3 linked regions of the Kluyveromyces lactis genome follow. The protein of the gene in region 1 interacts with the protein of each later gene in a biochemical or structural test. Links are inferred from orthologs where the notes say so. Each region holds a gene or a part of one and is shown on either strand. Other genes may lie near its edges. The genes, in order: KLLA0_C17380g, CDC28 and KLLA0_F17545g.

The links.
Region 2: of the proteins of KLLA0_C17380g (region 1) and CDC28, one has a biochemical effect on the other in vitro, tested with the Saccharomyces cerevisiae proteins (2 studies listed by BioGRID). The link is inferred for Kluyveromyces lactis from reciprocal best matches to the Saccharomyces cerevisiae genes SPA2 and CDC28.
Region 3: the proteins of KLLA0_C17380g (region 1) and KLLA0_F17545g form a complex in vitro, tested with the Saccharomyces cerevisiae proteins (2 studies listed by BioGRID). The link is inferred for Kluyveromyces lactis from reciprocal best matches to the Saccharomyces cerevisiae genes SPA2 and EPO1.

The regions. Positions count from the first base shown.
Region 1 is NC_006039.1:1,523,472-1,527,605, forward strand, and holds the start of KLLA0_C17380g (uncharacterized protein), read left to right. Parts: upstream 1-1,244; coding exon 1,245-4,134. Other genes in the region: KLLA0_C17336g (MCT family MFS transporter), read left to right, coding at 1-452. UniProt on the Saccharomyces cerevisiae protein: Involved in pheromone-induced morphogenesis and efficient mating, perhaps as a cytoskeletal protein.
Region 2 is NC_006038.1:854,742-857,504, forward strand, and holds CDC28 (cyclin-dependent serine/threonine-protein kinase CDC28), read right to left. Parts: upstream 1,474-2,763; coding exon 586-1,473; downstream 1-585. Other genes in the region: IFA38 (ketoreductase), read right to left, coding at 2,058-2,763. UniProt on the Saccharomyces cerevisiae protein: Cyclin-dependent kinase that acts as a master regulator of the mitotic and meiotic cell cycles. Required to drive the G1-S transition. More than 200 substrates have been identified. Substrate specificity is in part regulated by the bound cyclin protein.
Region 3 is NC_006042.1:1,609,701-1,614,090, reverse strand, and holds KLLA0_F17545g (uncharacterized protein), read left to right. Parts: upstream 1-1,471; coding exon 1,472-4,252; downstream 4,253-4,390. Other genes in the region: PKR1 (Pkr1p), read left to right, coding at 370-750.

The sequences.
Region 1 (4,134 bases):
TCATATGTCTTGCCATGTGGATCCCATGCAGAAATCTTGCCACTGCCATTGCATTCGGGCTCCTATCCGGTGCATTAATGGGTAGTATCTGGCCATTACAAACAAGTATCATTTCCAGAATCGGTGGTCTTAACAAGTTACCAGCCATTTATTCTTTCACCTGGCCTTGTATCGGCATGATGTCCATTGTTTCCCCAATCATTGGTCTAAGACTACGTAGTAACGATCCAACAGTTGCCAACCAATACGTGAATACAGCCATTTTCTCCGGTATGGGATATTTCGGAGCTGCATTTTTCCTATGGATGATTCGTGGGTATCTAATAGCTCGTGACAAGCTCGCCATGGTTGCAAAGACAGGTCACGACGATGGTGAATTGCATTTACACGTCACGATTCCGGAACTCTTGAAAGGTCTACTGACAATCGGACGACTACCAAGAAAAGTTTGATGTATATAATAGAAAAAGATATACTAAAACAAAACCTAATAATATGCATGTATATTCTAGTATAATTCAATGCTATACTATAATTGCTCACACTCATTGTTGCAATGCTTTCGTAAGTGCGATGCTTAGCATACATTTTGCCCAAATCACCAAGGTATTGGTATCCGAAGAGTTGTATTTCCAACAGAAATCGCTGCTTTAGCTCAGTTGGGAGAGCGTATGACTGAAGTTCATAAGGTCCTGTGTTCGATCCACAGAAGCAGCATTTCTTTTTTATTTTTTTTATCGATTCTCTTTTCTTCTCATCACGTGAAAGAAAACGCCAAACTTTCAATAAAATTACGCGTTATCACGAAGAACGAGGTGTAGTAAGAACGCTTTTTTTCTTTTGGCTGAAAAAACGATGAGTTCTTAGGTATGGAAATTGAAATATTGGAATTAGAATCTTGTTTCAATTCGAATTAAACAGTGGATTAACTCTTCTTCATGAAAGAAAGTCAATTGTATAGAATCAAGTATTCATCATTACGAAATAAGTGCGAGTTGTTGTGAATCAGCGGTAGCGGTTTGGTAAAGACGATACAAGTCTTAAAAGGAGAAGGCCGTCAATTATTTAAACTTGGGAAAGTATCGAATTGAGTTATTTACAGACACACTGGTTTCTTCGATTTCACTTCCCTTTTTTGACCATTATACTTGAAACGAGTGTCCTCAGTGACAATTGCAATTGACATTAATACGTGTTCTTAATTGACCATTGTTTGATAATTTGTTTTCATTTTACCGTTCCAAATGAAAGAGGGTGCTAAGGAACTGAAATATGCACAAAAAGTGCAGATCCATAATTATTATGTTGCTTTAAAACAATTCTTTGAGGTTACCGGTGGTAGCCATGATAGATCAATGACATCGCGTGCTCAGAAAGCACGTTCAAAGCTGTTAAAACTTTCTTCGTCACAGTTTTTCGAGTTGAGTACTGACGTCAGCGACGAATTGCAAAGACGAATTGATGAATCACAGCCACAACATGACTATTTAGTTCCTAATGAAAGTTTCCATGCAAAGAGGAACCAGGCAAGACAAAAATTGGCGAACTTATCCAATGCGAGATTTAATGATTTGGTCGATGATATTCTTTTCGAAATCAGAAGACGTGGGTTTGACACGTTACCTGAACCAGAAGAAGCAGATTATCAGGAATTCCCAAATGCTGATACTGATGAAGATTTTAATTCGAATGACAAGGCAGAGGTCTCCTCTCCTGCATTACACGTACTTGATTCTAAGCCATCGCCAATTGTACCTAGCAGTATAAATAATACGTCGGTGGAAAAATTACCAGAAGATGAGAATTCTGCACTTAATGCAACTTTGCAGACTTCTACAGTCATTCCAAAGACAGCATCAATCGACTGGAGTTCAGATGAAGAGGATCACAAACCAGAAGCTGATGAGAAGGAATTAGCTAGTGAAGACAATGACGTTATTAAGATAGATAGAGCGTTTTCACTAAATCAGTCCCCGGTCATTATTCCAGATGAAACACAAAGCCCACCTCAACCTACAGCTTCCTCACCTGTGGGAAATAGAAGTCCGATTTCCATAGATGACCATTTCACGTTCTCAGAGAGACCGTTATCACAATCCAGTGAGGCTAGAACTCCATTGGCTCAAACTGCTGCCACTACAGCAATGGCTGCAAGTGCTGGGTTGTCGCCTTTCACCAGTAATAAAAATAAAATGGGATCCTTGTCTCAATCGGTAGAACGTAACAAAGATCGTGATATAGAGCTATTAGTTCTGGAAGGGAATAAGTTGGACAGTACCATTACAACTTTGGAGAGAGAAAAATCAGAACTTTTGAATCAATTAGATGAATTGAAGACCAATAATCAACGATTAACAGAAGAAGTTCAGCAATTGAAACAGAATGCCGACCAATCAAGTACTACTAAAGCTCTAGATAGTAATTTCCAAAAGGGAATGTCCGAAATGACTACTCAACTAAATCAACTGTCAATAGAAAACGAAGAACTCAAACAAGAAAAACTAGAACTTCAGCTGCAATTGAAAAATATACAGTCTCCAGTTAAATCGATTGACGGTAAATCAGGGAAGGATGCTGCCTATTGGAAATCAAAGTATGAAGACGCTTTTGCTGAAAAACCTGTCAGAACAAGCTCTTCTTCTATGGCCCCCATTTCAAACAAGCAACTTTTCCCTGAAACTAGTATAATACCGTCAAATCTCATCGACGACTTGGATTCCAAGTTATCACAAATACTAAGCCTCATTGTGTCACCTGAACCTCCAGTTTTGTTTTTATTCGAGAACATTGCTTCCATTTCAGAATATTGTTCAAAAATTTTAACTTTAGTTCACTCCCCAGATACAAAGACCATGAGACTAGTGTTAGAGAACACAATATCACATGCTATCACATCTGTGCGTTACTTCAGCAGCTATAAAACTCCATTATCAAGAGTTATTCTTGAAAATTCTGTTTCAGAAATCTCATTTGCAATCTATGATTTGGTTAAGACGGTAAATGGCGGATCCAATAACGATGAAATATTCACATCAAATAAATCTGGTGATCAACTGGATAGTCCACTTGGCCTCTCCATGCAAAATAGACAAACCTCGAATAACTTTGCTAAAGGTTTACACGAGGGAAGTGTTTTAGACAAACCATCACTTCTTCCTTCTCGGGCTGATAGCGTTGAAATGTCTCCGGTCAAACCTTTGAAAATTACCCAGAAAAAAAATACCGACGACGCGTCATCAAGGCCTGTTTCAGTTAGAAAGCCCTCTGGAACTGGCTTATTTACAGCAATGCTTAATGGGGGTATGAAGAAAGATAACGCATCAAAGAAATCCAAGAATATATTGCAGTTAGAATTACCTCTGGATAACAATTCCAAATCGGAAAGCAATGCTCCTATAATCGAACGCAGAGAATTGAAGACCATTGATGCAATTAAGTCTGCTTCAGCCAGCAATTCACTTCTACCTACTTCGCCACTTGCCAAAAAATCATCAGCAGTTGTTCCTTCTGACTTTAAAGACCCAAATCCTTTTGAGTTATCATCTCCAGAAAAGGGAAAGCTATTGCAAAATATTAATTCTGACATATACAACAGCAATGATGAAGAAACTGAAAGCGAAAGTGTAGAGGAGGAGGACGATGGGAATTCTACATATGAAGTGTTAAGACAAACCATGAAGCAAAAGCATCTACAAGAAGAAAACGGAACCAACGAAGAAAAAAATTTGAAAGGAATTTTTTCGCCAGTGGTACATCCACAACCTATTGAAGTTTCAACAGAGGATGTCGACTTAAATGAGAAGTCATTCAATTTTGAATCTGAAGAAAATGCTAAATCTGAATCTGAATCTGTACCTTCGATAACTGTAAACAAAAAGAATATAAAACTCGTTCCTATCCCTGCCGTTACTCCAACTTTGAAACAAAAAGAGCCATCCCCATCACCTACTGCCGAATTGGTTATTTCTCCATTAAGGCCTATAGTAACTGCTTCTGATAATTCAAAAGTTAATGACGATCAGAAGGCCGTCGATGCCAACAAAAGCGAGTCAGAAACTAAAGAAATCGCAGAACAATCAGAAACTGGTGAAACTGACGACGACATTGAATTTGACGTTGATGCGTTTGACATTG
Region 2 (2,763 bases), on another chromosome or scaffold:
TTTTTCTGGGAATGGGAATTAATCTCGAAGGTTGCAATGGAAAATTTGTAGATTTTGTTTTCGGATGGCAATCAGTAGCAATATGGGGGGATGTGAATAGAGAGAGAGAAGGTATGGGTTGAGTTGAGAGACATTACGTCAATTGAGCTGTCTCTTACCAGGCCTCGTCTTTAATTTCTTCAGGGATTCGGTCGGAATAATGGACAGACATATTAGCGATAGAGAGGGGATGTCGAGGATAGGTGACTAGGTAGATTTGCGTTCAGCCAAACTAGCAATGGCGTAACGTTAACGAAGAGCCCCAGGCCTAGGGGAGGGGGGCGGGTTTCAATTTGCTTCGGTTTTTCTTGCTCTTAGTTCTTTCTTTTTGGGCGCATTGCTGTGGCACAGGCAAGGAAATCAAGGCCCGTTTTTTTTTTGTTTTTGTGGTATGTTTGCAGCATCTCTCGAAGGGCTGTTGGATGGGACAAAAAGAAATGGAATGTGGAGTTCCGGGTAATATAAGTCACGTGAATACACGTGACTGGTATTGTTTTTATTATATATCATATACATGAATATACGCGCCTCCTGTCACCAACACTCTCACTCCTCCTTGAAGTACGGGTGTTGTACTGCTCTTTTGGCGCTAATGCGGTGGATTGGATCGTAGGTGATCAATTTGTCCAAGAGATCGATACCGTTTGCATCTAGCGATGGAATTACCTCGGATAAATTACGACGGTTCCATTTAGGGAATGTAGTCTTGAAATCCGGTAGATAAATAATATCCGGCCATGTTCTCTCGTTTGGTGTGCCTAACACTCGGAATATCTTGAAGATCTGATCAATTTCACTGTCTCCGCTGAATAACGGTTTCCTGTTGCACATCTCGGCAAATATACAGCCAATGGACCATACATCGACCCCTGTACTGTACTGTTTCCCACCTAATAACACTTCTGGTGCCCTATACCATAAAGTGACGATCTCATGGGTGTACGCTCTCAAGGGGACACCGAATGCACGTGCAAGGCCGAAATCTCCCAACTTCAAGTTCCCATCTCTGTTGATCAATAGATTCTGCGGCTTCAAATCACGATGTATGATCCTATGAGCATGGCAATAAGCAATTCCCTTGCACAATTGCATCATAAACTTCTTTATAATGTTGCCTCCCAATGGCTGGTCCTTGGGGATCGATTCCATGTATCTTTTCAAATCAAGATCCAAAAATTCGAACACTAGATATAACTTGTGCGCGTCCGAGTGCACGATGTCATATAATCTGACAATGTTGTCATCCTTCAGTTCCTTCAATAATGAAATCTCACGTATCGCAGTACTGGGAACACCTTCGTCTTCAGATTCTAATCTGATCTTTTTCATTGCTACCACTCGATTCTGGTGACGCAAATCAACCGCTTTGTAAACAACACCATAAGTACCTTCTCCGACTTTCTCAAGTCTCTTGTAGTTTGTTAATTCGGACATCCTGGTATAGGGTGGATTTCTTGTATGATGCGACCTTGCTGTTCTGTTTCTTTACTACTTTCAAGTTTTAGGTAGGTACAGATTGTTCTCTTTTGCAGCAGTATATTCAGATCAAGTAAAATTTGCTGTGCTCGCGTATAAATATGCGTCAAATCAAATAATCAACTATCACTCAGTGCTTATGGCTCTAATATTACCCTGGTATGTGCCTTCTTTCTAACAGATTAACGTTGCCTTAATACTATATTAATATCTTCGAAATTGTGTTTGTATTTTCTTCGTTTTAAGGTCAGAAGGTCAATAATGAGCTTTACGTGTAATTGAAAAGAAAGAAAGGTTTGGAATTGTAAGATGAACGCAGGGATTTTGTAACGTATAGGGCATTGCTGAACGGTTTTTTCAGTATACTTTCATGTTACAGAATATTTAACACAGAAACTTACAAAATTTATACACTTCTACAGGTTCCAATAATTATGGTTTCTTTGTCAGGATATCGCACAATAATCAAACGTTACTACAACAAATCTATTTAAACCTGCTCCTTATATCAAAACAAACTAATATTTTGGAGACAACTCTTTTTATTGCTTCTTGGCTTGTCTTTCAGCCTTTTTCAAAGCTCTCTTTCTGATACTCAAGTGGAAGGAATAATTAATTGAATTAGCAATCTTAGAGTACACACCGACGGTGTTCTCGATAATGAAATGGTATAATGCATGAGACCAATACGGCGTGGAGGTTGCAAAACGCTCTTGGGCACCACAGCGTTTGCCAATGGAGTTCAATGTGGATCTCACGAAAGCCTTTGGAGAAGGGATCAATGCACTTGATCTTCTAATCTTAGACATTGCACTGGTAACTAAGTAAGATAACACTAACTCAACATCGATAGAATCGCTAGATAATTCACCAGCTAGGGCGTTAGACCAACTTTGTAAAAATGCCTTGGAACCACTGTATGTAGCTAAGAATGGGGTAGGTAGCAGACCACCAAAGGAACCCATTGTCAAGATTAGACCACGACATTTCAACGTCTTAACGCTTGCTTTTAATTGTGGTAACAAAGTTTGTGTGATCATTAATGTCGCAGTATTGTTGATAGTAATTATATCTCTCAATTCAGATTCTTCGGTTTGATCAAATGGTACTGGAATCGAATGAGACTTACCAACATTATTGATCAAAACAGTTACAGGTAAACCCGACGCAACTTCTCTAATTAAAGTATAGTTCTCCTTGCTATCAGAACTGACATCAATGGCTAAAATTTTAACGTCAATCTTGCAT
Region 3 (4,390 bases), on another chromosome or scaffold:
TTCTCCAATAGTACTCTGATGTGGTCCCTTTTCTATTCCATTTTATCTTTAACTTCATTATTCCTCTGTTATCGGTCTGTAAATTATAAGTTTGACATACATAATCTGTATCTTAAAATCTCTATATTAAAGTTTTAAAAGTAAAATTCTTCTATACATATACATACGTTTGCCAGTGACATAACATAATACACCCGGCTCGATCAGAATAGGAAGTCGTCATTTCATACTTACAAGCTTGTTCACTTGCATTCTGGCTATACCTTGCTGATTTCTACTCCAGGCTCATCATCGATTTCTAGTACAGCATATTATAATCCTCCGTTGCCAACCACTATAAAAAACGAAATTCACCTGAGACACTCAAGAATGACTAACTTTGTTGTTGCACTGTGGGAAAGCATTTTCCAACCAGGAACATCGCCTCAATTGATCATTGCTACTCATATCTCGTTTGCACTATTGCTTTGCGTGTTGGGATCGCAGATCTATTTAACCAAAAATATCCATTTCATCGCATTAACGATTATCGCCACTCTACTATGGATCACCGTGACGTGGTTCATCTACGAATTACAAAACACAAAGCTTGTTACCAACGAAGATCTACAAACAGCTGAATCTAAAAAGACTGATAAGACTGAGCCTTCCAAGCCCTCTGAAGAGATAAATCTAGAGGGTGTTGCGAAACCTGATCCTAAACCATCATCTACACCTAAAAAAAGGAAAACAAAATCAAGAAGAGCTTAAGCTGGTGATAAACCATTCTCTCACCTGAGCAACTTTCTGATTAGACTACATTGGACAGTAAGTAAAATCATTTTTAAACGCAATAACCACTGCATAGACTTGTAACATTTGGGAACCATATAAAATTTAATTCAAATACAAAGGTTGCAGAAGCCATTATTTCGTCAGATTACTACGATCTATTATATACAACGTTGTGTAAAGGCACATCCTAAATAGCTGCCTTCCGTTTCCTTTTTCACTCTTCGTTATTGTTTCATGCATAATCCATACATTTCATGTTCGCTCGGAACTTCTATGGCATTCAGATTTCGTTTTGAGAAAAAAAAAAAAATATGAACGGAAAGTAAATGAATCTTAGGTCTGTTCAAACAATTTAGGAATCAGTTTGAGTTTTGGACTTAGTCACTATTAATAGGTTGTATTTCCTTTTATCTATTCTCTTTCTAGTACAGTCATTTAGCCTAGGTTCTGGCAGAATTTATAATCCAGAGGAACCAATCCACAGTACGAGTGTAATTGACTTATTCCCTACCGATTTTGGAACGCTTCTTTGGTACATCAGGACTTTTGATAACAACTTAGAGGTAAGTCCTTAGATTGTTTGTTTGTCATTGTTAAAGGAACTTTTCTATACGTAAGTGCAGCTCATTTTACAACTAGCCATCTTTTCGTTTCTTGTAGGTTGTGCTTTATTTCTAACCTTTTCTGATCGTGGAATATGGATGCCGGTGTTACTGCGCTTGATCAACGACGTGGAGCGGGCATGTCTTCCAAGGCCCAGCTGCGGAACCAGTTACTTCACAGCGATATAGGGAATATTGATATTACTAAGGAGCAGCAGATAAACAAGCAGAAGGGAAATACAGGCCCCATGGCCCCACCTGTAGTTCCGTTACAAGCCCAGCAGTACGAGTCCAATTACAACCCTTCGTCATATAATTACATGCAACAGCCTCGACAACAATCTCTGCAGATGCAACCAAGACCACATTTTGATTACCCAGGAGACAGTAGTAGGAAATCATCCATGAGTTCTTCTACTGCTTCCTTCTCTAATTTCTTCAAGGGTAAATACAAGAAACTCAATCAAAAGAGACACAGTCAATATGACGAAAAAGCTAATGAGGATGACGATAATACAGACTTTTCGGATCATGATTCCTCTTTCCTTACATTCAATGATATTTCTTCCATGAGAAACAATGGTGGGCACGCATACGGTTACGGTGGACATCTAGATGATACCTCTCCAATAATACCGACCATCGTGACTTCCGGAAACACAAACTCAATGAACAATATAGAATATAGAAAACTTATGATGAATCAAAAGAAAATGGCATTTAACAGTCTTGCGAAGCAGCAGCAGCAGCAAGCGCAGTTCAGTGCCTCAGTTCCAGGTGGTCCTAGAACAATGTCCTTGCAAAATTATCATCAACGTCCTATGGTAAGGCCTGGTGTTTCTGGCCCGGGAACAATGATGGGTCCAGCAGGCCCTCAGCAATCAAGAATCCCTAGGCCTCCAAACGGTAGCAGATTCAACTCTTTGATGGGAGGGGGGGCTTCGCCGATGGCTGGTAGACCAGGGTATCCTCCCCAACAAGGTCCTCCAAATGACCCACGCACAATGTCGTTAACTGCTGACAGACGTCCACCAACTCAAATGAACGGAAATTCACAGTTTAGAAACGGTTATCAAGGTCCGTATGCCGCGTCACCAACAGGATCCCGTAACATGGGTTTTCCTGGTCAAGTTAATGGACCAGTGCCGGCAAGAGGTCCACCTGTTACTGGTAGCTCCCAATATGGTCCAAACTCTGGTCCAAGAGCCATGTCCCTGCAAACTCAATCGTATCCGCAACCATTTTATCAACCAAAACAAAATGTATCGCAGGATAATGTATTCAATGAAAGACAAGCAACAAGCTCATTAGCCCCTCCGCCACAACCACAGCAGCTGGTGAATAAGGCGGCATCGGGCTCATCCTCTTCATATGCCAGTGTGAATAGCGTCATTTCTGGTAGGGTTTCTGAACAAAGTTCTCCGACAACTCCCTCGAACGCATCATTCGATGAACAAAATCAGATACCATCACTGCCAAGATCACCGGTGAAATACCAACTACATGCCACTTTGTCGAATGATAATGAGGACTTTGAAAAAGACAAGGCTCTTCCTAGCTTTAACGAGGAAGAAGAAGATCAACAAACCTACAGCGGGAATAAGGATCATTCACATAGCGATGAGCAATATGATTCTGATTCATTGGTGAAATTGAATATATTAACGTTAAGTGAACCCGCAAGACAAGTGTTGCAGATCGAGGAGGAAAAAACGGAAAAGGAATACGACCTAGTGGATTCCTCGGAAACGAAAAGCAACCAGCAAGATTCTTTGAATGATGACATAAATCTCAGGCCATCCACCGCCTTGATACAAAATATTCCCGTGGATCTATCACCAATATTAAATCCTGAAATCTCGGACAACTCTTCCAGTCGAAACTTTGGCGACAACGTCAATAGAACTGAATCAATTGTATCAAAAGCCCATGCGGCGGTCGACAGTGGGAATAGTAATACTAACGAAGTACTACAATCAAAACATGATTCCTATATCGCATGTTCTGGTGAAAAAGGCTTGAAGAAATCAGGCAGCAGTTTCCAGAAAGCGAAGAACTTTTTGATGAAGATCAAAAGGACGAAGAGTGGCGATCAAAGACCGCTCACTACTGTACCTTCGTCCGCTAGAAGCAGCAGGAGTTCGATGGCAGTAGATGAAGGATCCGAAATCCAGTTAAATGATACTTTCAGGGCGAAATCGGGTGCATCCAGCGATAAACGTAGAATATCATATCATTCTCTTTTTTCCGCGTCATCTGCTGGTAATCACCACGACCAATATAGTAATAAGGAAAAGACATTTGACAGATCAACTTTGCAAATTCGTAAGTCGATGATTATTGGTGAAAGCACAGAGATACAGGAAGTGCCTTGTCTTGAGAAAGAATATGTAAAACAGAAGGCTGAACCTATTTCCGCGTTGCCATATAAGCCATCTTTTGCTTCTGAAAAGGATCCCAAACAACCCCTGTTGATCACTGAAGAGTATTTGAATATTTTGAAACAAAATATGATGTTGATGCAAGAGCTACAATTGGTTTCCACGGAATTAGCCGAGTCTATCGCAAGGGAAGGTAGATTAGAAAGTGAATTAGAATCAAAGAATCCGAAGGAACCAGAGTCACCTCAGGCTCTTTCTCTACTGGATTTCGAAACGGAATTAAGGAAAAAATCGTCAAAGATTGTTGAGTTGATTCAAAATTTGAACGAAGAAAGGCTCAAACGTTTCATTGCAGAAGAACAGAATTTATTATACCAACATGGTATAAAGCCATCTCCTAACGAACTCGCCCTTCAAATAAATGAGCTGAAGACGCAACTGCAGTCCAAAGATCTACTGATAGAACAGTTGCAGAAGCAAGTACATGATTCTTGAAGCAAAATGAAAAGAATCCATGTATGGTTCGTTCCGATTTTGAAGGTCTCGTTATTTCTGCGATTTCTTTTCCAGTCAAGCATATACCTATATAATTTGGGAAATATACATATATATGTTAAAAAACGTTGAAAACAC